Diceros bicornis minor: one gene and its partners. The protein of the gene in region 2 interacts with the protein of the main gene of each other region in a pairwise test. Links are inferred from orthologs where the notes say so. Each region holds a gene or a part of one and is shown on either strand. Other genes may lie near its edges.

Region 1 (8,032 bases), on a different chromosome or scaffold from region 2:
CATTGGCTCTTGACGACACCGCTGCTGGCCGCGTGTCTTCACTTCTGGAGGAGAGAGGCAGTGGTTTTGAGGAGAGAAGTTCCGCCTCTCGGCTGAGTCATTGCCTCCCAGTGGTTTGGCCCAAACTATGTGCACAGTTCAGGGCACCCCGAGACTTTCTTTTCCTCCCAGAGCACTCCGTGTGCAGCCATGGCAGAGGGTGCTGTTCTAGGCTTTCTGTGTTTTCTGCCCTTGTGGGTTTTTCTGTGACTCAGTTTTCATAAATAAACGTGTAGGCAGCTCCGGGTCTGCCTTTCCTGAGACAGGAAGGGACAGCGCGTCCTTGACGGTCAACGCACATCTAATTACCGCAGAGCTCCGAGGCCCTGCTCCCCAGCTGCAGTCTCCCCGAGCCCAGGTTGTGCCCGAAGCAGATGTGGGGGTTCTTGGGGCCAGCCGGGAAGGAACGTCAGCCGACTCCGGGGTGAGCCTGGTCAGGAAGTGTCCTGGGGCTGGTATTTGGGGCCTGTCTTCCCTCCGCCTCCTGTATTTCTGTGCCTGTGTGTCTGAGGAAACTGACAACATACCCTAACCACTTTTCACAATTGTTCTCATGTTTAAACCCTGAACCTGTTTTCACCAAGATGTCCTGTGGTCTTGTTAACCCTTCTCCTCCTGCTTAACCCGCCTCTGTAGACGTGTGTGAGGACCCTGGTTTCCTCCACCCACACACAGGGGCCTCCTGAGGTTTGCTGCTTGCTTCTTTTACAGACCTGCTTCATCTACCCTTTCTAGGCTTGGACCTTTCCTCTCTCTGTAACCTTCCATGGCTCCCACTGCTCCATAGCATTGCTGTCCTGTAGAACCAGAAAGCGAGCCACATAGGTAATTCAAAATTTTTTAGCAGGCGGCTTTTAAAAAGTGAAAAGAAACACGTGGAGTGAATTTTAACAGCATGTTACTTACCTGCATCTATCTAAAATATTATCATTTCAACATACAGTCAATATAAAAAAATTATGAATGAGATATTTCACATCGATGTCTTAAAACATTTTTGAAGGCCAGCCCTGGCGGCCTAGTGGTTAAGTTCAGCTCGCTCTGCTTCGGCGGCCTACCTTTGCTTCCTGGGCATGGACCTACACTGCTCTGTTAGCGCCCATGCTGTGCTGGCAGCCCACATACTTAAAAAAAATAGAGGAAGATTGGCACGGATATTAGCTCATGGCAAAGCTTCCTGAGCAAAAAAAAAAAAAAGTTTTTGAAAGCCAGGGTGTGTTTTACATTGACATCATATCCTAAATTGGGTGTTAAAATTTTATCAGAAACATTTGATCTCGATTCAGAGTTCATTAAATTTGCTGTTGAAGAAGTGGATTCACATACCCAAGGTGTCCCACGCTTACGTAAAAGCTTTCCAGTAATTAAGTTGTGTATTAGATTTTAAATTTTAATTGCCTAAACTTAAATATGACTTAAAAATTTACTTTCTCAGTCACACTAGCCACATTTCAAGTATTTAGCAGCCTCTTGTGGCTGCTGGTGTGACCATATGGGACAGCCCAGATGGAGAACATTTCCATCCTTCCAGAAAGTTCCATTGGACAGCACAGGCTTATAAAGTCCAAATACCTCCAGAGGACTTTCAGAATTTTCTGGAAGCTGGCCCCAACCTATCTAGCTTTATTTATTGACTTTGTTTTACACGTGTTCCCTTTCCCATGCCTCTTTTTCTACTTTGAAATGCCTTTTTGTCTCTTCCCCTGGAGAAATCTCCTCTTTCGAGCTCGGCTTAAAGGCAGAGCTTCCTGAAGGATTCTCCACTTCTCCCCACAGCAGAATTAATGACTGCCTCTGCCTCCCACGGGTTCTAGAAGCCGAGGCAGAATGCGTGGGAAGAGGCGCAGGCCGGTCGGAGCCCCCGGACCGTGGCTCGCTGCCCTCCCAGCTCGTTTCCTCACTTCTCCTGGGACAGGTTTGAATGGATCTTCTAACGCAGCCTTAGCCCTGCCCCGCTGGAAAAACAGAGCCACACAAAGGAGGGCACTGTGTCCTCTCCAGCTGCCCTGGGGCTGCTGCGCATGGGCTTCAGACGGGAACACGGCCCGGGTGCGGGAGATGTAATCCTAGGTGGGCATCAGCTCCGTTGGGGAAAAAACCCTTTCTCTGCCCTCACAAAAGGAAATACGTGCCTGGCTGCTCTCATACTCAGTTTTCAACATGGAAACTGGTGTGTGTGTGTGTGTGCGCGCTTTTTAAAAAAATATAACATACATACAGAGAAGTGCACACGTCCTCATTGCACGACTCGAATTTTCACAAAGCGAACGTGTCCATGCACCCAGCCCCCAGATGAAGAGAGAGAACATGAGCAGCCCCCCAGAAGACCCCCCTTCAGCCCCCTTCCAGCCTCTCCTCCGCCTCCCAAGAGTAAGCACTTTGCGGCTTCTAGGCCCATGCTTCGTTTCGCCTGTTTCTGGACTTTGTGTAAACGGCATCATTTACGGTGAGCTTTTTCGGCGTCTGGCTTCTCTCGCTTGGCACTGTAATTGCGATAGTTCCTGATCGGGTTCTGAATGCCCTTGTGTTTTCCGTCCCCCTGAACATGATTAGTGAGACCACAGCAGTTACAAAGAAAGGAGAAAAAACACTGGATGTGAAAGTTGGGTCGCCTTTGGGCAATGGTTTTAAGTGCGAAGAAACTTCTGCTGGAATTTGGCTGATGTTTGCCCTTTGAGATTTTCTCGGTTTTGGTGATTTTTGGTTGTCATTATTTACCTTTTATCTTTATTTAGGGAATCCCTTGTTAAGGTGACAATTCTTGGGTCTCCAAGGAACATTAACCCCCATTCCGGCTATTGAACAAGGCTGGACATGAGTCATTTCCTCAGATTTTCTGGTTGTCAGGTGGAAAATTAAAGATTAGAGTGGAAAAGGGGCCGGCCCTGTGGCTTAGTGGTTAAGTTTGGCGCACTCCACTTCGTGGCCCAGGTTCGATTCCTGGGTGTGGACCTACACCACTTGTTGTCAGCCATGCTGTAGTGGTGACCCACATACAAAATAGAGGAAGATTGGCATGGATGTTAGCTCAGTGATATCTTTCTCAAGTAAAAAGAGGAAGATTGGCAACAGATGTTGGCTCAGGGCCAATCTTCCTTGGGGGCGAGGGGGCGGGGTGCGAGGGGGCGGGAAATGATTAGAGTGGAAAAGAGAGAAATGTCCATTGAGTGTCTGATCTGGTCTCTTCTGGTTTTGCTTTAGGTAAAATGTCTGCTCCAGGATACTACCAGGCGGCCGCTGGGCCTTCCTCGGTGCCAACTGCGCCCCCGTCCTATGAAGAGACGGTGGGCGTTAACAGTTACTTCCCCACGCCTCCAGCCCCCGCGCCTGGGCCAACCACGGGGCTCGTGACAGGCCCAGATGGGAAGGGCATGAATCCACCTGCGTACTATACCCAGCCAGTGCCCGTCCCCAACGCCAACGCAAGTACGTGGGGTCTCCCTGGTCTCCCTACCGCCCTGACCTTGGCTACTCCATGAGAATGAAGACAGTGACCAGGGTGGCTCTGCCTAAGGGTCTGAGCCAAGTGCCAGCCAGTCCAACTTGACCCTTTATCCTGAAATTTCGCATGCAGGCTAGGTTCCGTATCGGTGAGGCCCGTGGCTTTTCCACAATAAGGAACGGTTTACGAGCCTTCCCAAGTCTGCTGTAAGCCCATCCTTGGGCTCTTACCACAGAGGGACAACCAGCTATTCCAGAGAAATTTGGGAAGGGGAGTTTACTTTTAAGGGCCCCCCCTTCCTGCTGAGGTTGGTGGGAGAGCTCTGCGCGAGGCCAGGGCTGGAGGAGGAGAGGGAGAAGAAATAGCCCTGAGTGAGGGAGCCCGCCCAGCCCACCAGCACCATTCGCGCACGGTGCTCCCCTGCCTCCCAGCAACCTCTTCACGACCTTGCCCCTGGGTACCTCCTGCTGCCCAGGTGTGCCCAGTATCACCAGCAGCTCGGGAGGAAATCCCCAGCTCAGAGCGGGGGGCGGGGGGGGGTGCCCGTGAGTCAGGCTGCCTGGGTCACCCACCCTCCTCTGCATCAGTCTCCCCACCTGTAAAATAGTGCTGCTCAAGTACCCCATCAGGGGGTGGTTAAGATTACATAAAGCCCTCTGAGTCACCATTTGATAAAAGTGAACTAAAGTTGTCATTGTGCTCAGCTAACTGTCCCCCCTTGAGATGGAGGAGGACCAGGTAATGACTTCAGACTGTTTCAGATCACGCTCTGATCAATATATAACTCATTCTTGCACTCAAAAAAGACTTAGTAAAATTTACATGTAAGAGCTAAAGTATGCAATACTGCTTTTCTAGAAGGTCTTTCTAGGAGTATGAAGGTCACTTAGCTCTGGGCAGTGGTTAACTTCCCCTAATGCATAGATTATAGAAATGGCATTCCAACAATGTGGAAAGGAACAGAAGGAAGTCACTTTGACAGAAATATGAGGTTAATCAACTTTGCCAAAAACATAAAGAACAGCCTGAACTGGAAGGGCTTCCTGATTTACATCACTCTAGATTCCCTTCTGGTGATTGTGAATGTCTGTACATGTTTTCACTTTTTAGTGTGATTTTATGTGCTCATTTCATGTATCGACATGGCTCCCCGGCTTGTCTTAAAGAACTGGGTCCGTGTTCCTTGGCCGGGTAAACTCCAGCCTTATCTCTGGGTGTAGGAGTTCATGAAGGAGCCCCGTGTGAAAAGAGGGAATTGTTCATCACGGTTCACTCTGTACCAGGCACCACATGGGGTTCTTTACCACCCTTATCTCGTTTAATCCTGGCAACAACTCTGTTCCTTCCATTTTTTAAGTAACAGCTTTTTTGAGAGAGAATTCTCATACCGTAGAGTTCCCTCTTGTAAATGATATATGATTCACTGGTTTTAGTATATTCACAGAGTTGTGCAACCATCAGCACTAATTCCAGAACATTTCCATCAACCCAGAAAGAAACGCTGTACCGGTTAGTGTCACTTCCCATACCCCCTTCCCCAGCCCCTGCAACCACTAATCTATGGATGAAGAAAATTGAGGCCGAAACCCATCACATCGCTGTTTCTGAAATTACCACCTGCAGACCACCTTCGTAGAACCACTCAGGGAGCTTAAAAAGCAGTTTGGGGACCCTGCCCCAGACCTGCCGGATCAGACTGTCTTGGGGGGCAGGGCCCAGGACTCTGCATTCTCAGTCGGTTCCCTCCGTGATTGCACGGAGAGTCGAGTTTGAAAGCCTGGTTTAGCTGAGCCAAAGTCCTCTTCCGGGAGCACACAGTCTTTTCCCATCTCGTATGTGGAGGTTTTGCGAGCCCCTCAACTGATAATTCTGGAAATCTGCCACTGCTTCTTCTCGTGTTGTCATTTTTCTCCCCACCCCAACTTTTGTTTTTTATAAAATACACATAACATAAAATTTATCATTGTCAAGCATTTCTTTTTTGTGTGTGAGGAAGACCAGCCTTGAGCTAACACCCGATACCAATCCTCCTCTTTTTGCTGAGGAAGACTGGCCCTGGGCTAACATCCGTGTCCATCTTCCTCCACTTTATATGGGACGCTGCCACAGCATGGCTTAGCGAGCGGTGCGTCGGTGCGCGCCCAGGATGCGAACTGGTGAACCCTGGGCCGTCGCAGCAGAGCGTGTGCACTGAACCGCTGTGCCACCGGGCCGGCGCCATCAAGCATTTCTAAGTGTACAGTTCAGTGGCATTAAGTACATTCACACTGTCATGCAACCATCACCACCATCTGTTTCCAGAACTTTTTCATCTTGCAAAACTGAAACTCCATACCCATTAAACACTAACTCCCCACCCCCTCCCGCCAGCCCCTGGCAGCCACCATTCAACTTTGTCTCTGTGACTTTGACTCCTCTAGGTGCTTCATACGTGGAATCATACAGTATTTGTTCTTTTGTCACTGCGTTATTTCACTTAGCATAATGTCCTCAAGGTTCCTCCACATTGTGGCAGGTGTCAGAATTTCCTTCCGTTTTAAGACTGAATAATATTCCATCGTGGGTAAGGGTAGATCACGTTTTGCTCATCCATTTATCCATCGATGGATACTTGGGTTGCTTTCACCTTTTGGCTCTTGTGAATAATGCTGCTATGAACGTGGATGTGCAAACATCTGTCGAGACCCTGCGTCTGCCTTTCTGCCATCTAATGAGTGTTTTCCTCGTTTGCTGATCAGCCTGTGTCTGGTGTTCTTCTTTCCATCAGTTGCCGTGCAGACAGTCTACGTGCAGCAGCCTGTCTCCTTTTTTGACCGCCCAGTCCAGATGTGTTGTCCTTCCTGCAACAAGATGATCGTAACTCATCTGTCCTATAACGCCGGTGCCCTCACCTGGCTCTCCTGCGGGAGCCTGTGCCTGCTGGGGTAAGTCCGTGGTCCACTCGGCCCCCGGGCTCTCTCACCTTCCTCTCTTGTAGGATTTCTCAACTGCAGCACATACTTCTGTGTTGTGGGGGGCCTTCCTGTGCACTGTAGGATGTTGAGCAGCATCCCTGGCCTCTGCTTACTAGATGCCAGCAGCACCTCTTCCCCTACTGTTCTAACCAGAAATCGTCCTTCTGGAGCATATCAGGGCCTGGATGCCGTTGTCCCAGCCATCGTTTCTCCTTGCTCGTCTGCTCAGACCACTCCCTGCATGTAGGGACACGCACGGCAGCCGCGTGCATCTGTGTAGGCTGAGGCTGTCAGGGATTTCTTTTGCTTCTAGGATTTCATGACCTAAATAATAATGTTTGCCTGACTCTGAAAGAAGCGTTAAACAGTCCGTACATTAAAATACTTTATAGTCATCTCTTCAAAACTTCTTATCTTTTTATGACCTCAAGTATTTTTCCCGTTGCCCGTACAAGGAGAGTGTGTAAATATTTATGTCTGCACCAAGGGTATTATATTGAGAGAGAGAGGAGTTTCTGTACTGGGAGCAATTTGAAGAAACACAATTCAGTTTTTTTCCCCAAACGGACAGAGGCGGCATCCTTCTTCCTGGCCGTGGAGTCACTCCGTGAAACCACAGGCCCTCTGTTTTCTTCCTTGAAGGAAACGGTGTTTGTGCGTTTCTTTTCAGGAGTGCTTATCTCTTGTACAACAGCTGGCTCGTTCCTCATCTCCTGCTTGTGACTCAGGTCGGGCAAGAACGGTATTTCTCTTCCTAATTTCCAAGAGAGGCTCAGAGCCCCAGAGAGCTTGATTAACTTCCTTGAGGACACGTGTTCAGGGGGCAAGAAATGAGACCGAACAGGTTTCTTGGCTCCCGATTCCCTGTCCTGTCTAGGGGAGTCCACTGATGGCTGTCATCTTCACTCCTCGGACAGAAAATGCTAAATATTTGCCTTTAGACATTTATATTAAAACTAATTTTTATCTTTGAAATCAGGGAAAGACAGAATGGAAACGTCTACTGAGCGTCAGCCTCTGCTGATCTGGCTTTCAAATTGAGGCAGCTTTTCTGTCCCTCCCTCCTTTTTCTTCCTTAAATATAGTACCGTGGGTTCAAATCCTGCCTCCCGCTGCTGTGTGACTGTGGGCAAGTGGGTTCATCTCTCTGTGCTCCAGTTTGCTGGTCTGTAAACTGGGGGGTTATAATGCCTACCTTGGGGGGTTGTTGGGGATAAAATAAGTCAGTGTGTGTGCAGTGCTTCATGGAGCCATGTCTGCCCATGTAGGCTGTAGATTAGGAATCTCTCTAAATGGCCTGGCTGCCCTATTTGAATTCGGGAAAGCTTACGCAATAGGAGGAAATTTCTCTCACGAGGACGTTTCCTCATCAGGGTATTTCCTGATTCTGCTTTGTGTAAATCAGTGTCTTCCTGTAAAATGTTGTTTTTTAACTACGTTTTTGACAAATGTTGCTTGTAAGGCTGTGTGGTGTTTTCTGACACCAGCCAGCTCTCCAGCGCCAGCTGGGTGTCCAGTGATTCAGTTCAGTCTGACACTCACTACCTGGAGTTAGCACAGACCCCACAGCTTAAGGGCTCAGTCCCACAGACTGCCC
Region 2 (8,032 bases):
AGATAAAATAATCCAACAGAAAAATAAGTAGAAGTAATAAGCAGGTAATTTTTAGAAAAAGAAAACAGAATGACCAAGAAATATATGAAAAGATGCTCAACTTTACTAACAATGAAGGTGAAATGAAAACAATGCTCTATTTCACACTCATCAAATTGGCATAAATTTAAAAATTTGACAACACCCACTGTTAGTGAGAATGTGGAAAAACAAGGGACTTTAATTTCACTGCTGGCAGGAGCAAAATCTCCCACGAGTATACGGAAGGGCAATTCTGCACTATCTAACATTTTGCAACTTTGCACTATTTACACTTTTAATAAGGAATTCCTCCTCAAGATACAATCCCTAGAGAATCTCTCGCTCATGTGAACAAGAAAACATGGATACAACTTTCACTGCAGTGCTGTCTGTAACTGGAAAAAACTTCATGTCCATTAACAGGAGAATTGATAAATAATGTGGTATATTCATACAGTGGAACACCACATAACTGTTAATGAATTAGAGCTACAAATATCAACATGAATAACTCACAAAAAATGCTGAATGACAAGTTACAAATGACACACAAAGAATGACACTATTTTGGGGCCAGCCTGGTGGCCCAGCTGTCGGGTTCGCGCGTTCCACTTCGCAGGCCCAGGGTTCGCCGGTTCGGATCCTGGACTCGGATCTACTCACCGCTCATCAAGCCATGTGGAGGCAGCGTCCCATAGAGAAGAGCTACAACTCTACAACTATGATACACAACTATGTACTGGGGCTTTGGAGAGAAAAAAGAATAAAAAAGAGGAAGATTGGCAACAGATGTTAGCACAGAGCCAATCTTCCTAAAAAAACAAATAAATAAAAAAATGACACTATTTTTATGAAGTTTAAAAATATGCAAAACAATACATATAGTATATTCGTGTGTATAGTATATACATTATAAAATAGAGTTTATATCTTTTTGAAGAGTGTTTAACTCTGAGAAGGGAGGAAAAAGAATAGGATCAGGTAGCTACTAAATATATCAGATAATTTCAACTGTATCTTGAATGTTTTCTTAAAAAAAAAGAATAAAGTGTGGCAACATATTAGGACTTGAGAGAGCTGGATGATAGGAACAGGAGTTTATATCTTGTACTTTATGCTAAAAATATTTCATGGTTTAAAAAATTATAAAATACATTAATTAAAATTTGTAAATATCTGAAAATATTAGGATTTTTGGTACAATGTAAGCAAAATAAAGTATAGAAAAAAACTGGCTGTTACAGCTATCATTCTTATTCATAACCAAAAATTATTTTTAATTTTAATTTTTTGCAAAGATTATAACCTCACTGTGTTCAAGAACTGACTCAAAAAGAATGTAAATGTTATAGATTTGAATGTACAAAGTAAATTTGTATTACTAGAGTGCTGTCAATATCTTTTTTCCCCCCAAATTGAGGTTACTCTATGTATTTCTGTGTCCTCTACTTTTTTTTTTTTGAGGAAGATTGGCCCTGCACTAACATCTGTTGCCAATCTTCCTCTTTTTCTTTTTTCTCCCCAAAGCCCCAGTGCACAGTTGTGTGTCATAGTTGTAGAGTTGTAGCTCTTCTATGCAGATGCCGCCTAAGCACAGCTTGATGAGCGGTGAGTAGGTCCGCGCCCAGGATCTGAACTGGCGAACCCCGGGCCGGCGAAGCAGAATGCAAGAACTTAACCGCTATGCCACCAGGCAGGCCCCTCAATATCTATTTTTATAGTAGAGTTTCTTATAAAATTCCATGGAGTAAAAGATCCCATGACCGAAAGCCCCCAAGCTCCTCACTGTCAAGTTCATCAAACACAACACAAGCCAAAGACACAGCAATACATGCATTCAAATTTCACTTAGACAAGTCTCCTTCTAAGATAAAGGTTCACACTTCAATCCACTGTGTCAGAAGAGCTTTGCAGAGGTAGAATCTGAGCTCAGCTTTGTGGGACACAATTAAGTATATCTTCAAGGAAGGAGATACCAAGGTTGCTGGAAAAAAGCAGAAGTCTATCAGAGAATAGTAAATGGCACAGAGGCAGAAACTAGCAAGAAAGACTGCCTGGCTGGAGTAAGGAGAAAAAAAGATATGTGAAGAAGAACTGGAGTCAGGGAGCATAACAGATAAATTATGACTTGGGAACCAACATAGCGAGACTGGAAAAATTGGTACAGAATATACGGAAATGACACATTCCCTTTTAACACTAACCACTAAATCTTCCTACTCTGGCTCTGTCCCCCACGTTGCCCTTTCCCCGTGGAATTCCCTAAGAAGGCTGCCCCAACCAGGCTTTAAGACTTGGGGCTGGGATGGGCAGGGGCAGGTGGGAGTATTTTCTCAGCACAGCTTCAAAGGAATTTCAGTGAAGAAAACAAAAATAAATCCAGATTTGAAGAAATCCAATAAATATTTAAAGAGCTCTAATGCTACCATACCCAGCATACCCTTCAGGGTTTGCAGGTTCTGACTCCAAGAAAAAAAAAGGAATTTGTCAGAGTTCCTTACATCCTAGCCTTTGGCTTGCTTCCACATGACAAGTCATCTACAACCATTCAACTCAGGAGAGCCTTCCTAGACATCTTGACCCACTACAGCCTTTCCTCAGGGTCTGAGAAAAGGGTTTCTTCCCCAAATGAATGTCAGAAAGACTGCTCACCCTCTGGGGAGACTCTGAACCTACCAAAGAAATGTAGTTTCATCTTCAGAGGCCCTTAAGTATGAAATAACCATAGCATACATATAGTAAGAGGTGGTTACTTCCTGCAGGTAAAGGGCTGTCAGGGAGTGGGGAGAGAGGGAGGATAGTGTCAACACCTTTACAGGGAAGGCATCTGCCTGAAGGCCCTTGTCTTCTCTTCAGGGAAGATGACTGCTTTAAATAACAGGAGAATGTAAAGCATCTCGAGTATTTCTAGTACCATATTTATCACATTATATTACAATTATCTTTTTATGTGTGTATGTGTCCTCCATCAGATTGAGAGTTCCTTGAGGGCAGGAACTCAGTCTACTTATTAAACTTTTGTGTCCCCAGAACTTAACACAATGTCTGCGACTGTAATCATTCAATGCACATTTGTTGAATGAAAGATGAACACAAGTATGACAAAAAAGAAACAACGGTAATAAAAATCTGACTGAATCCAAGAGAGCAGGTGAAAAAGACAATGACACTGCAAAAGAACATTCCTGGAGACATTTCAAGTTAAATATTAACTTGCTTGTACTACATAACTATTTCAAATTAAAAGGAGCTTTAAGTTCTGAAAAATGTAATATATAGTTTTTCTTCTATGATACAGGTTTAAGGCCAGTTTAAACTTAGTATTTCATTCCACTTTTTTGATTAATTCCATTCACTTGTCTAAAAGAAGTTACAAACAGGCCTCAAACTCGCCCTTTCACCCTTAAGCTGCCTTTTGGATACTGACTTCAGTCACACTTATTTGAGTTAACAAATAAATACTTGATGCTTTGGTTGATGGCACTGTCCAGGAAATAATTTACACACAGCAGTATTTTTTGTCTGAACAGCAGTGCCTCTTTTACTACAGTGGCACTAAACTATGATCCACTAAACCATGCTGGGACCTCAGGAGCCTGAGGGGGAGGTTTAGAAAAACAAAACAGGCAGAGCAACTAGGCCTGCTTCTACCAGAGACCTTTTCAGTCAGAAAACAATGGGCTTCTGGGAAAGATTTCCCTTGAAAAAAACAGTTTCACAGTTTCTAAGTTTGCAAATCATTTGTCTTGATTCTATTTTGCCCTTTCTGTTTTATTTCACGAGGACACAATGAAAGTCTTCACAACAGCAATAAAAAGTACAGGTCTCACAGCAACAAAGGAAAGTATCATTACATGTTCCAAAAGCAGAGCTGTGAGCCTCAACGTATGCTTCCTAGATTTATGCCAGTCACCTGTGCGACATATTTGAAGACTAAGGGTCAAGATATAATTATAAAATTTCTCAGCTCTCTGAGAATGGAAGGAGCTTATAACGTACATCATGTTTCACTTCTGAACACGCTGTGGGGATCCCATAATATACCAAAATAGGGTACTTTCTAGAATCTCCTCATAATTAGAAAATTTTAACTATGAAACAGGTGGCTCACTACTACGATGTGCAGTATTCTGTGTGACTCTGGCAATTTTCAGCCATGATTTTTTTTATTCCACTAAGTCCTAACACTCTGCCTAGGGTTCTGCTAAGTATTGCTACAAAAATCTTTACTCAGCCAGTTTGTTTTACTGTTATTCTAATGCCCAAAAGAAATTCTCATATCCCGCCCAACTTTTTCTCACTCCAAAGTCAGAGACATCAGCGCTCTTACGACGCCAAGAAATGAAATACTATTAGCTGTTCTTGACTGTTTTGAGATCCTAGGGTTTTGCTTTTCATACTCTAAGAGAACAACTCGTAGCACTTGCGCTACCCGTGGACAGAGAGTAACACTTCCACTGTAAATAAATCCCGAAGCTGGGCTGTCAGGACTTGGATGTATTTGCATATAAGCGAGGTGAAATAGCTTCTTCCTATTGAATGGGGGCGAGTCGAGGTCTCTAGAGTCGGACTGCCCTAGACAGCAGGGTCTTCATCGCTGCATCATCTCTTAAGGGGGGAAGGGGATGCTTAACCAGCTCAAGAGGGAGCAGGAAGTGTGTATCATCAACTCCGCAACTGCTTCATCAGTCCAGTCTCCAGCGAGCCCCAGGCTCTTCCCCATTCCTGCACCTGGCGAGGAGAAAGGACTTCCTTCGGGGTCTCCAACTTCAGGTGGCCAGGTGGCATTCCCCAAGCCGCTGGCGACGCGCCGAGGCTGCCCCCTGAAAAATCCCGGCAGCGAGGCAGCGGCGCCGCCCCCCTCTCGCCCTTTGCTTGGCTTTCCAGTCCCCGGAGTCGCCGCCGCTCACCTTCTAGCACGACAAACAGCAGCCCCGGGCCCAGGCCCAGCACTTACCCACGTCCTGCTCGGCACTTACCCACGTCCTGCTCGAACGGGTTGGCGGTGAACAGAGGCATCTCGCCTGCGCCCGAGCCCTAGTCGCTGCGGTCTGGCCGAGGCTCGGCGGCTGCTGCGGGCTGGGTGACGGCCGGCCCAGGCTTCCTAGACGGCTCGGCTCCGGCAGCGTCCTCGCCCTTCCGCCAGCGCACCTGCCCGGCTCCCGCCTGACGGGCCAGCTCCGGGTCCGCGCGCCGCCCCCGCGCTCCGCCCTCAAAGCCTCTCCCGGGGCGGGGTCCCGCCAGCCACGGGCATCCTCTCAGTGCCCCTGTCGCCGCCGGGAAGAGGCGGCAGCCCTTGTCCCAGGCCCCCACAGGGGTCAGGCGGCCGCCGCGACCACCTTTCCATCGCTAGGACCCCGGCAGGCCACGGAGCGGGGGACCTTCGAGCCGGAAGTTGTCGCGCCTAGAAAGGGGCGACGCCAGAAGCGCGGAAGCGCGCAGTCCCGGCGGCGGCACGGCAGGGGGCGCGGTCGTGTGGTGTTCTCCGCGCGGCGCAGCCGGTTTGGAAGGCTAAGTTCTCGCTCCTTGGGTGCGTTCTTAAGCTGCAGCCTAGTCCCTCCACGGCCGCGGTCGCGTCACAGTCCCGTTGCCCTGGAAACGGATGGAGCCTCGGCGCAGAGGTGGGTTTGCTCTCGGGCGCTTACGGTGTTGCGCTCTCCTCGGCGCCTAAACCCCGCCGGAATAACCGCCCTGGAAAACGGTGGTCGAAGTAACCGTGGCTCTGTCGGGACTCTGAACTTTTCGGTTTCCATCGTGTCCTCGCCGGGCAAACACTGCTGGATTGTGGGAATCCAAAGACGAATGAGGCACACTCCGTGCCTTCAAGTTGCTGACAGTTTTACAGGGGCAGTGTATAACATATACGTGACAGTATATGACAATCCTGATATGTACTAGGGGTCACACACTCAAATTCCCATGCAGCCAGGTATTTAGATGAATGTAAAAGTGCAAGCACCCTTCCCACCCACACTCCCTAACCCTCTTAACCCTGCTTTATTTTTCAATAGCGTTTATCACTTCCTAATATATAATTTACTTAATGAGGATGTTTTCTGTCTCCCCTCTTTAGAATATAAACTCCATGATCAATTTTGTTCGCAGCACCTAAAACAATGTCCGGCAAGAAATAGGTGCTCAGTAAATACTTTTCCACGTAGCTGTGGCTATCCAACCCAACAGCGCGTTCTGAAGATGGCAGGTACTAGTCAACTTCGGCCATTTGTTGAAGTGTGGGCCCTGCTGGAGCTTCCAGTTTTTCAGTGATTTTTAAATGTTAAGAATTGCTTCAACATTTTAACAATGGGTCAAACAGAACCGTCTTACAACTTCTGGTATAAAGACTTGATACATACAAGAGAGAACTCTTACATGGAATAGTTCCGAAAGCTGTTTGCATTTTACACTGTAAAGCTAGGTGCACAAATAAGAAAGATACGTTTGCAGGTGGAAGGATCTGGTTTTCAAAAAAACATTGAACCTAGGATGTTCAAGATATGTTTGGGAACTGTCTAGATGGATTTATCTAGGATTAAGGTTTAGTGTTGGAATGGAAAACAAGGCTAGATAGAAATAAGAGGAAATAGATTGAGAAGAGCCTTAAGGAACAAGCTAAGAAATTTTAATTTTAGCATATAAGGCATTAGATAATCATTTAAAGATTTTGAGCGGCAGAGTAGTATACTAAAAAGAGTTTCTGGATATTAATCTGACATCAATGTACATGATGTATATGAAGAAGCAGACCCAGACAGAACAGTTTAGGAGGCTATTACAGCACTGGAAAGTCATAAGAAGAGATATTGTGTAGGAGCTTGTATTGAAATAAGAGCAAAGGGCTGAGGATTAGCCCTTGGAAAGCATTCACATGTTAAAGAGATTCCTTTAGCTCCTCCTCATCTTTAATGGCAAGCATACTCAAGAATCTACCTGTGTTTACCTTTCTGTGTGGGTACTCAGTCTCCAAGAGTGGTATGTTATTTTTCATGAATTTCCAAAGCGTTTAGTTTGAGTGTTATTTTTTTAAATAAACTTATTTTGGAATAATTTTAGATTTATAAAAAAGTTACTGAGATAGGACAGTGAGTTCTCGGTTACCCCTCACCCCATTCCTCCCACTGTTAACGTCTTACATTTCCATGGTACATTTGTCAAAACTAAGAAACCAACATTAGTTCATTGCTGTTAACTAAACTCCAGGCTTTATTTGGATTTTGCCAGTGTTTACATTGATGTCCTCTTTTTTCCCAGGATCCAATGCATATGTGCCAGGGATCCCCAAGACCACCCCCAGATTCAGTGATTCACTAGGACTCACAGGACTCAGCATATAGTCATCCTCAAGACTATGATTTATTACAAAGAAAGGATACAAAACAAAATCAGCAATGGGAAATGGCACGTGGAGTGAATGAAGTCTGGACATGCAAACTTCCTAGAGTCCTCTCTCAGTGGAGTCACACAAGACATGCTTAATTCCTCCAGCAACAAGTTGTGACAACACATGTGAAATGTTGTCTACTGGGTAAGCTCATTGCAGATTCGATGCCCAGGATTTTTATTGCAGGCTAGTCACACAGGCACCCTCTACCTAACGTGCACCCAAATTTCCAGGCTCCCAGAAGGAAAGCCAGTGTTCAGCATAAACCACATTGTTTGTACAGTTTAGGCATCATAAGCCATTCTTATCAGGGAATTGTGGGAACTCTCCCAAAATCTGAATTCCCAGATGCCAGTCAAGGGCCAACCTTGCAAGCTGGCCTTGATATTGGATAGCAGTCTCAGGCCTGCTATGTTAACTCTTTTCTGCATACCAGGGTACCACATTTCATCTAGTTGTCATGTCTCCCTAGTCTCCTCTGGTTTGTGACAGTTTCTCAGTCTTTCCTTGTTTTTCATGACCTTGACAGTCTTGAGGAGTGCTGACCAGATATCCTGTAGACTGTCCCTGAATCTAGGTTTGTCCGATACCTTTCTCGTGCTTAGATGGGTGTTACACGGTTCTGTAAAG
Region 3 (8,032 bases), on a different chromosome or scaffold from region 2:
TACATGCAGAGAATAAAGGATATTAGAGCTCCCAGAGAAGAACAAAAAACAATCACCAATTCTCTACCACTTGCCTGAAATATCTCCCAAGGATCACAGATGACATCAGGGTCAGGAATTTTGTTTTTGGAAAGAAGAGACACAAACCAATGCAACTCTCTACTTTTTCATTAATCTATCGCAGTGTGGTAGGCTGGGTCTCCCACAATCGCTGTGGAATCTAACTAATAATAACTAAATGCGCGCCCAAATCAGGAGCCAGGACAGCACGGCCTGAACTTGGACATCAAGATCCTCCCTCTGCCGCCACCTGGAGTCAAATTTCAGGATGCTTTTAAAAGTGGCTAATCTCTTAGCTTCATGAATTTTGGGAATAATCATCAATTGAGTCATTAACCAAGGATACCAAAAAGAAAATAAATGATCACAGAGTGCTCAAAAACAATGAGTATATTAAAAACACTCCCTGCATGCTGTTGAAAGTATGAATGTAAAGTACAGAAAAAGAGTCTTTATAGGACTTGCTAATTCTTAAATATATATTAAAATAGATAAAATATACCTTCAAGGTTCAGACAAGTGAAAGCAGCCTCAAAATCTCAGGCTTAAGGTGAGAACACTCACAGAGGTGTATATGGAAAAACATTCTTGAACTATACCGTGTTTAACAATAGTCCTTTCAAATGAATATATTTGTCCCTTGGATTTAATTTTGTATCAAATATACAAGCAAAATTTTTACTGAAGCCAGAAGAAGATTTGCTGATTTAGTGGATAGAGCCAACTAAGGCACATGCATAATGCTCGTTCAAAGCTTGAAACATGAGGTTATCCTTCTACTGTGTTCCTACGTGGGTTTGAAGTAACCTTAGACTTAAGTTGGCACTGTCACTCAACTACCTAGTTTCATATGCCAATAAAACTTCTGAGTGAAAAATAAAACGTGGTATATCCATACAATGGAATCTCATTTGGCAATAAACAGGAATGAAGTTCTGATACGTGCCACAACCTAGATGAAGCTTGAAAACATTATGCTAAGTGAAAGAAGCCTTTACCAAGGACCACATATTGTATGATTCTATTTATATGAAATGTCCAGAATCACAAATCCATACAGACAGAAAGTAGATTAATCAGTGGCTGCCTAGGGGGTCAGAGAGAGATGGGGAGTGACTGCTAACGGGCACAGGGTATTTTTGGGGGCAAGTGATGAAAACTTTCTGAAATTGATTGTGGTAATGATTGCACAACTCTGTGAATTTACTAAAAATCATTGAATTGCACACTTCAAATGGATGAACCATATGGAATGTGAATTATATCTCAATAAAGCTGTTATTAAAAAACTTTTGCAGGGCCGGCCCTGCGGCTTAGTGGTTAAGTGCGTGCGCTCCGCTACTGGCGGCGTGGGTTCGGATCCTGGGCGTGCAGTGACGCACGGCTTCTCCGGCCACGCTGAGGCCGTGTCCCACATACAGCAACTAGAAGGATGTGCAACTACATACAACTATCTACTGGGGCTTTGGGGAAAAAAATAAATTAAAAAAAAAAAAAAACTTTAGCAGTCCTCAAGTCATCATTTTTAAGGTTTTTCATAAAAACCTTAGTTTAGCTGTCTTTAAATTAGTTACAATGTGCTATTAAGCCCCTTTGTTTTAACTATTAAACCCTTTCCTTTTAGAAATACATACTGAAATATTTAATGCCTGAAGTTATGATACCTGGAATTTACGTTAAAATAATCCATCCAGTGGTGTAAGTTTGCATATAAAGTGGCCACATACTGATAACTACGGAAGCAGGGTGATGGGTAAATGGGGGTTCATTATACGATTTTTTCTACATTTGTTGAGATTTAAAATTTTCATAATGAAATATTAAAAGTGGAGGGGGGGGCCGGTGCCGTGGCTTAGCGGTTAAGCGCGCGTGCTCCGCTCCTGGCAGCCCGGGGTTCGGATCCTGGGCGTGCAGTGACGCACGGCTTCTCCGGCCATGCTGAGGCCGCGTCCCACATACAGCAACTAGAAGGATGTGCAGCTATGACATACAACTATCTACTGGGGCTTTGGGGGCAAAATAAATAAGTAAATAAAATCTTAAAAAAAAAAAGTGGAGGGGGGCTCTTATGGTCACTTCTATGCTGTCTCTCTATTCTGTTTACATTTTCTTTTTAAAAATATAAACATATTGAAATATTTACGAATGAAACGATGTGATGTCTGAAATTTGCTTCAAAATAATATGGGAAGTTAATCTGACAAATGGATTAGGGAGCATGATGGAGCTAATTCCTACCTCGCTTGGAACACCCATCCTCCTAGAGTTATCAGAACACAGAGAGGCAGCACTAGAGCCAGGAAGGGGTACGGATGAAACAATTGTTGGAGCTGGCGAGGGGGATATTACGGTTCACTGTACAGTGTTTGAATAAATTTAAAATTTTTCATAATGCAAAGTTAAAAAAAAAAAACTTCTCTCACATACATAAACTACTGGTGAGACTTTTTCCTAAAACACCAAGAGAGTCACGGTGTCTGGTGCTATCCTCACATCCTATTTAATTGTTCTAGAGATGCAACATCTGTCGGTTCTGTTGTCACTCTGCAAATTCTGAGGTTACTCTCAGAAACAGGCCACAAAAACTAAGAAAAACGAACAGCTGCCGGTTTGCACGTGGAGCTGGCAGGCAAGGTGTAGAAAACGACCCTATAGAAGAGAACTTAGTTCCAAAACACCGAGTCTTTCCCTGCTCTGGTTTGCTGGGTCCTGGAGACAAGGACGCCCAGCCATCAGGCCCAGGTTAATAGCCTTTATCTTCTGGCTGACGGCCTTTTTTTAATATACTTCATCAAATCCAACTGTGGCTTGACTAACATCTAAGTGCATTTACCTCTGAAATAATTCACAATTGTACAATAATTTTGGGGTTTAATTTTATAAGGGAAAAATTAGTTTTCGATAACCTGAACTAGCTATATTTGAGAAGACAAAGAGATTATGATTTTACAAAAAGCAAATCCCTAAAAATGTATGCAAGATTCACTTCCAGCCTATGGTATTTAGAGAAATGAAATGCACCCACCATTTGGCTGAATTTAGTCTGAGAAGAGGACTAGAGAGCATAATGGATAAAATCCCTACCCTGTTGGGAATACCCTTCCTCCTGGAGTTTTAAAGAACACCCAGGGGGGCCAGCAGGAGAGCCCAAGGGCAGGACCAGGAGGGAGCATTCCTTTTACATGATGCACAGAGTGTGAACTCCAGTTACTGGAGCTGGATTGTACCACAGTAAGATCACTCAGTATCCAAGTATTTAAGGAGAGCAAATGGGCACCAGTTTAAGAATAAAACATCAGGCCAGGCTCAAGGTACTTAATGTTCTTCTTCAAAGAATTACTTTGGGTTCCATTAGTTCTCCCTATATTCTTAAAATTTGGTCCTGAATCTGGGTATGTGTGGACAGCCAAAAGGACAGTTTTTACGCATTCAGAACATTCCTTCATTACAGATCTTAGAACTAGAGGCGCTGCCAGACTTGGAGATTTCGTTCATAAGAAGGTCTTTTACTTTAAAACACTCATCTTCCACAGTCATTCCACAAAGACTTGTTTCCAACTCTCAACCCCGGGGCAAATCTCAAGAGGCTGGACGCCTTGCAAGCTGTGACATGGTTAGGAGGCAGGGAGGAGTAGCCACCCGGTGACCACAGAAGCTCCAGGCTGGTCCCCGGTGGAAGAAGCAGGGCCAGGAAGCTGAGGGAGGCAGACTGCTCCAGCCAGCCGCCGCGCGCTCCTGGGGGCCTTGGCGAGCTCACGCGTAACGACAGCAGACTGCGTGGCTCCAGGAACAGACTGGGGGATTAGGGTCCTCAGTCATAAAGGCCAGCTACAAGCGCGCGTTTACACACACCCTGTCATTAACTCCTGAACTCGTTCCCAAATACAGTGGAGCCATCCGACACCAGATACATTTCACATTTACGCGTGCTTTCAAGTAGAATAAAATACGTGACGTGCCCCAGTCAAGCTGTCACACATCCATCTCACAAATAAACCTACTATGTGCCCGGCACTGTTGATACATTAGTGAACAAACACTGATCAAAATCTCTAGCCTCCCCGCACGGACACTGTCAGCGAAATAAATACTCAGTGGCCGACAGAAGTTTAATCATTTTCCTCCAATTTCCTGCCACCCACCCCATCCTTCCAAACTCCTAAAAAGCTGGAAATCTGTTTTATTGTATTAGCTTGACAGAGACAATAAAATCCTTTAGCCTGCGAGGAACAGACACTGTCTAGGTGCAACCCATTCGCCCCTGAACTCCACTCTCTCTCAGCCTTTTTTTCCAGCCTTAACGCCTCCAAAACTTCAACTGGCTTGAAGGACTGTGCTCTGTCACTGCAGCCCTGGGGTGGGCAATCGCAGGGCACTGGACGGGACCGGCCAGAGCCCCCTGCTCCTGGGGTGGCCCTGCCGAGGCCAGCGGGGCGCGTGCGGCACTCACCGAGGAGCCGGCCCAGAACGGGCACGAGTTCTTCACCTGCGGAGAGCTGCTCAGCGACAGTGCCCCGAAGCTGAGTGCCACCATGCAGCAGCCCAGGATCAGCTGCAGCAGCCCGAGCGACAACAGCGGGCGAGCGGGGAGCAGCGCTGCGCCCGGGGCCGCGGCGGCGGCGGCGGCGGCGGCCCGGCGGGAGGAGAGCGCGGGCGGCGCGGCCAGCACCCCGGCGGCGGCGGCGGTGGCCACGCAGCGAGGCCGCGCCGGGGGCTGCAGCGCGGCCCGGGGCCAGCGTGGCCGCAGCGGGGGCAGCGGCGGCTCCTGGGCGGTGGCGGCCGCGGCGCCCGGGCCCCCGGCCTGCGGCCCGCCGGAGAGCCCGGCCACCGGGCAGCAGGAGCCCGGGAGCACCACGGGCAGGGACATGGACGGGCGGGGAAAGAGCGGCCGGCGGCGGCGGGGAGGGGACGCGGAGCGGAGCCGCGGGCGCCGCGCACTGGGCACCGCGGGCGGGCTCCGAGGCCGAGGGGGAGGGAAAGAAATGCGCACGGCCCAACCACTTGCTGCTGCTGCTGCTGCCGCCGCCACCGCTGCCCGGGCTCCCGCCGGCCGCACCCACCTGCCACTCGGCGGGTCCGCCCCCGGCCGGCTCCCAGCGCACTCTCACTGTCACCCCCACACACACCCACGCGCGCCCTGCGCTCGCGCCGCGCGGCTGCTGCAGCCTTTGGGTCACGGCAGAACCTGCGCCCGCTCCCTGGGGTCCAGGAAAGGTGCCCAGCCCCAATTTTTTATATAGGTCCCTCGGGCTAGGAAGGACTTCGCGGTCAGGGTGCGTCGGAGCTGGCGGCCGACGGCTGTCCCCCACCCGCCGAGCTGGGGCAGGACAGGAGCGCAGGAGAAGCGCTGTGGACCCTTGCCCCCTTCCGGTCCAGCCAAGAGGGGGCCCCCGGCAACCTTTAATGTGAAGGGAGTCCGGCTTTAAACTTTTTCCCCCCAGGGCGGGGGTGAAGGCAGGAGGAGGGGCTATGGGTGACTTGGTGGGAAAAGTCTAAGTTGCCGGCTTTCAGGGAAGGACGAAGCAGAGCGAACTGACCACTAGCTCTGGGCTTCCGGGCGCTGACCCTGCGCCGCAGCCCGCCGCCTGAAAGTGGGGGAGGGGGTGGGGAGGGAAGCGGGCAGGGATGCTTTCCCCGCACCAGGGTAGGAGCCAGAGTGAGCACGAGGTTACGTTGGAAGTAAGTATCCAGCATCCGGAAAGAAGGAACCGGGGGCGATCTGGAGCGTGTGGCAAGGGTTACACTCTGTGTCCGCCTCCCCTTGAGTCCTGAGCTGTATTAGGTATCACCTGGTAGAACATAGAATCCTGAAATTTCCGAAGAAATATCCTAATAAAATCCTAATCTGTTTTTGGTAATTTATAAGACATATTAGAGCCTTAAAAAACAAAAAAGATGATTCGCCTTCTAAAATGGTTTTCCCTAATAGTATACCTTTCTCTCCAATGAATTCTTATGTGTGAAAGTGTTCTTATACATAAAACTATTATAATATATTTTTTCCAGGTTAAAAACCTGAGCAGTGTCATTTTGCAGTGTCAGTCTCAGTATCAGGCAACTCATTTTATCAGGAAGATGAGGGTATTTAACATTCTGCTACCCAATAAACCAAGGGAAATGTGTATCCATTTTTATGCTCTGCTTGCAAAGGCTATACAGTATTTATTTTGGTCATTACTTACTTCAACCCACATTGCTAATGTGCATGTGTGTTTACATATACACTTTTTGAATTCTTAAAGCACCTGTGATTAATAGTCCCTAAGACTTCTTTTACAAACTCCTCTTGGAAATAAACTTCAAATCCTGGAGAAAAAAGGAGCTGTCTTTTAAAATAAACGTTTCAAGTATGTTTGTTTCATGCACTTTAAAAATGTCTTGCAGTACATGTTCTTAAATTGCAGGCGATGTTAAATTAAAAGCTTCTTGTGTACTGAGTTTATACCTTATATTTTAAACACAAGCTTAAAGGTATTTAATTTTCAAGATTCTACTGCACTGTGCAATATAAAACGTCTGAGTGAGTCTTGAGAAATTCTGTCAACTTAACAAATCTATTCCACTGATCTAATCCTTGACACCAGAAGTGTACTATTAAAAATGTATTCTTTGTGTCTAGGAATGTTGATGCTAGAAGTCAGATGTCCTCCCTCCCTTTGGAGGGCTAATGACTGGAAGAGACAGTTCCGGGGGGCTGATAACCATCTGTTTCTTGCTGTGGGTGCTAGTTACATGGGTGGGATTCATTCTGAGAAAATTCATGGAGTTACACTTTGTGCATTTCTCTGTATTTTATACTTAAATACTTTAAAGTATTTCTAAGTACTTTGCCCTTAAATTTTTTGTGTATGTCCCTATATAGAAACAGGTGATAGCAGAGGTAATTAAAATCCATGGATAGTTTTATACAATAACTTTAGTTATTTTTTCAGGCAACTAAACCTTTCTAAAGCTGCTAATTAAGAGTTGTGCTGTAGCTTTCTTTTTTTATTAGCGGCCACATTTATAGCTGTGAGTTTCTTTTTCAGCTTATCATAAACACAAATCCATGTAACATTGCCCCAAACTTTAAGATTATGCCAAATAACACTCAAGTATTAACACTCAAGTATTTGAGGTTTGGATTTGTAACCCAGGCTTGATTCTTTGCATTCCCTAAACACTTGCTTACCATAAGTCCTTAGACCTCATCAAGCTGAGCTGTATGTAACTAAACTCTTTTTTTTTTTTTTTTTTTTTTGTGAGAAAGATCAGCCCTGAGCTAACATCCATGCTAATCCTCCTCTTTTTGCTGAGGAAGACCGGCTCTGAGCTAACATCTATTGCCAATCCTCCTCCTTCCTCCCCCCCCAAAAGCCCCAGTAGATAGTTGTATGTTATAGTTGCACATCCTTCTAGTTGCTGTATGTGGGACGCGGCCTCAGCATGGCCAGAGAAGCGGTGCGTCGGTGCGCGCCTGGGATCTGAACCCCAGGCCGCCAGTAGCGGAGTGCGTGCACTTAACCGCCAAGCCATGGGGCCGGCCCTGTAACTAAACTCTTAGAGGATGATTCAGATCTATTGATTTCAGGTTGGCTTGAGGCTTTGGAAAACAGTTTGACATTTCCTCAGAAAGTTAGAGTTATCATTTGACCCAGTAATTCCATTCCTAGGTATATACTCAAGAGAAATGAAAACATATGTCACACCACAACTTGTACACAAATAGCATTATTCAAAATAGCCGAAAGGTAGAAGCAACCCAAGTGTGGATGAATGGGTAAACAAAATGCGGTATTATGGATGAATGGATAAACAAAATGTGGTAATTCATGCCATGGAATATTTTCAGCAATAAAAGAAATGGAGCACTGATACGTGCTACAGCGTAAATGAACCTTGAAAACATAATGCTAAGTGAAAGAAGCCAGTCACAAAAGACCACATATTATATGATTCCATTCATATGAAATCTCCAGAGAAAGACAAACAC

What was found. The genes of interacting proteins can lie anywhere in the genome.
Region 1: the proteins of STAM2 (region 2) and LITAF interact in a two-hybrid assay, tested with the Homo sapiens proteins (4 studies listed by BioGRID and IntAct). The two-hybrid records come from large-scale screens. The link is inferred for Diceros bicornis minor from reciprocal best matches to the Homo sapiens genes STAM2 and LITAF.
Region 3: the proteins of STAM2 (region 2) and ENTREP1 interact in a two-hybrid assay, tested with the Homo sapiens proteins (2 studies listed by BioGRID and IntAct). The two-hybrid records come from large-scale screens. The link is inferred for Diceros bicornis minor from reciprocal best matches to the Homo sapiens genes STAM2 and ENTREP1.

Annotation. Positions count from the first base shown.
Region 1 is NC_080765.1:38,395,201-38,403,232, forward strand, and holds the start of LITAF (lipopolysaccharide-induced tumor necrosis factor-alpha factor), read left to right. Parts: upstream 1-3,240; 5' UTR 3,241-3,245; coding exon 3,246-3,465; intron 3,466-6,248; coding exon 6,249-6,405; intron 6,406-8,032.
Region 2 is NC_080749.1:36,024,460-36,032,491, forward strand, and holds the start of STAM2 (signal transducing adapter molecule 2), read right to left. Parts: upstream 5,149-8,032; 5' UTR 5,041-5,148; coding exon 5,001-5,040; intron 1-5,000. Other genes in the region: FMNL2 (formin-like protein 2), read left to right, coding at 5,624-5,642.
Region 3 is NC_080761.1:23,819,236-23,827,267, forward strand, and holds the start of ENTREP1 (endosomal transmembrane epsin interactor 1), read right to left. Parts: upstream 4,978-8,032; 5' UTR 4,928-4,977; coding exon 4,511-4,927; intron 1-4,510. UniProt on the Homo sapiens protein: Functions as an activator of the E3 ubiquitin protein ligase ITCH in the ubiquitination of the CXCL12-activated CXCR4 receptor. Thereby, triggers CXCR4 endocytosis and desensitization, negatively regulating the CXCL12/CXCR4 signaling pathway.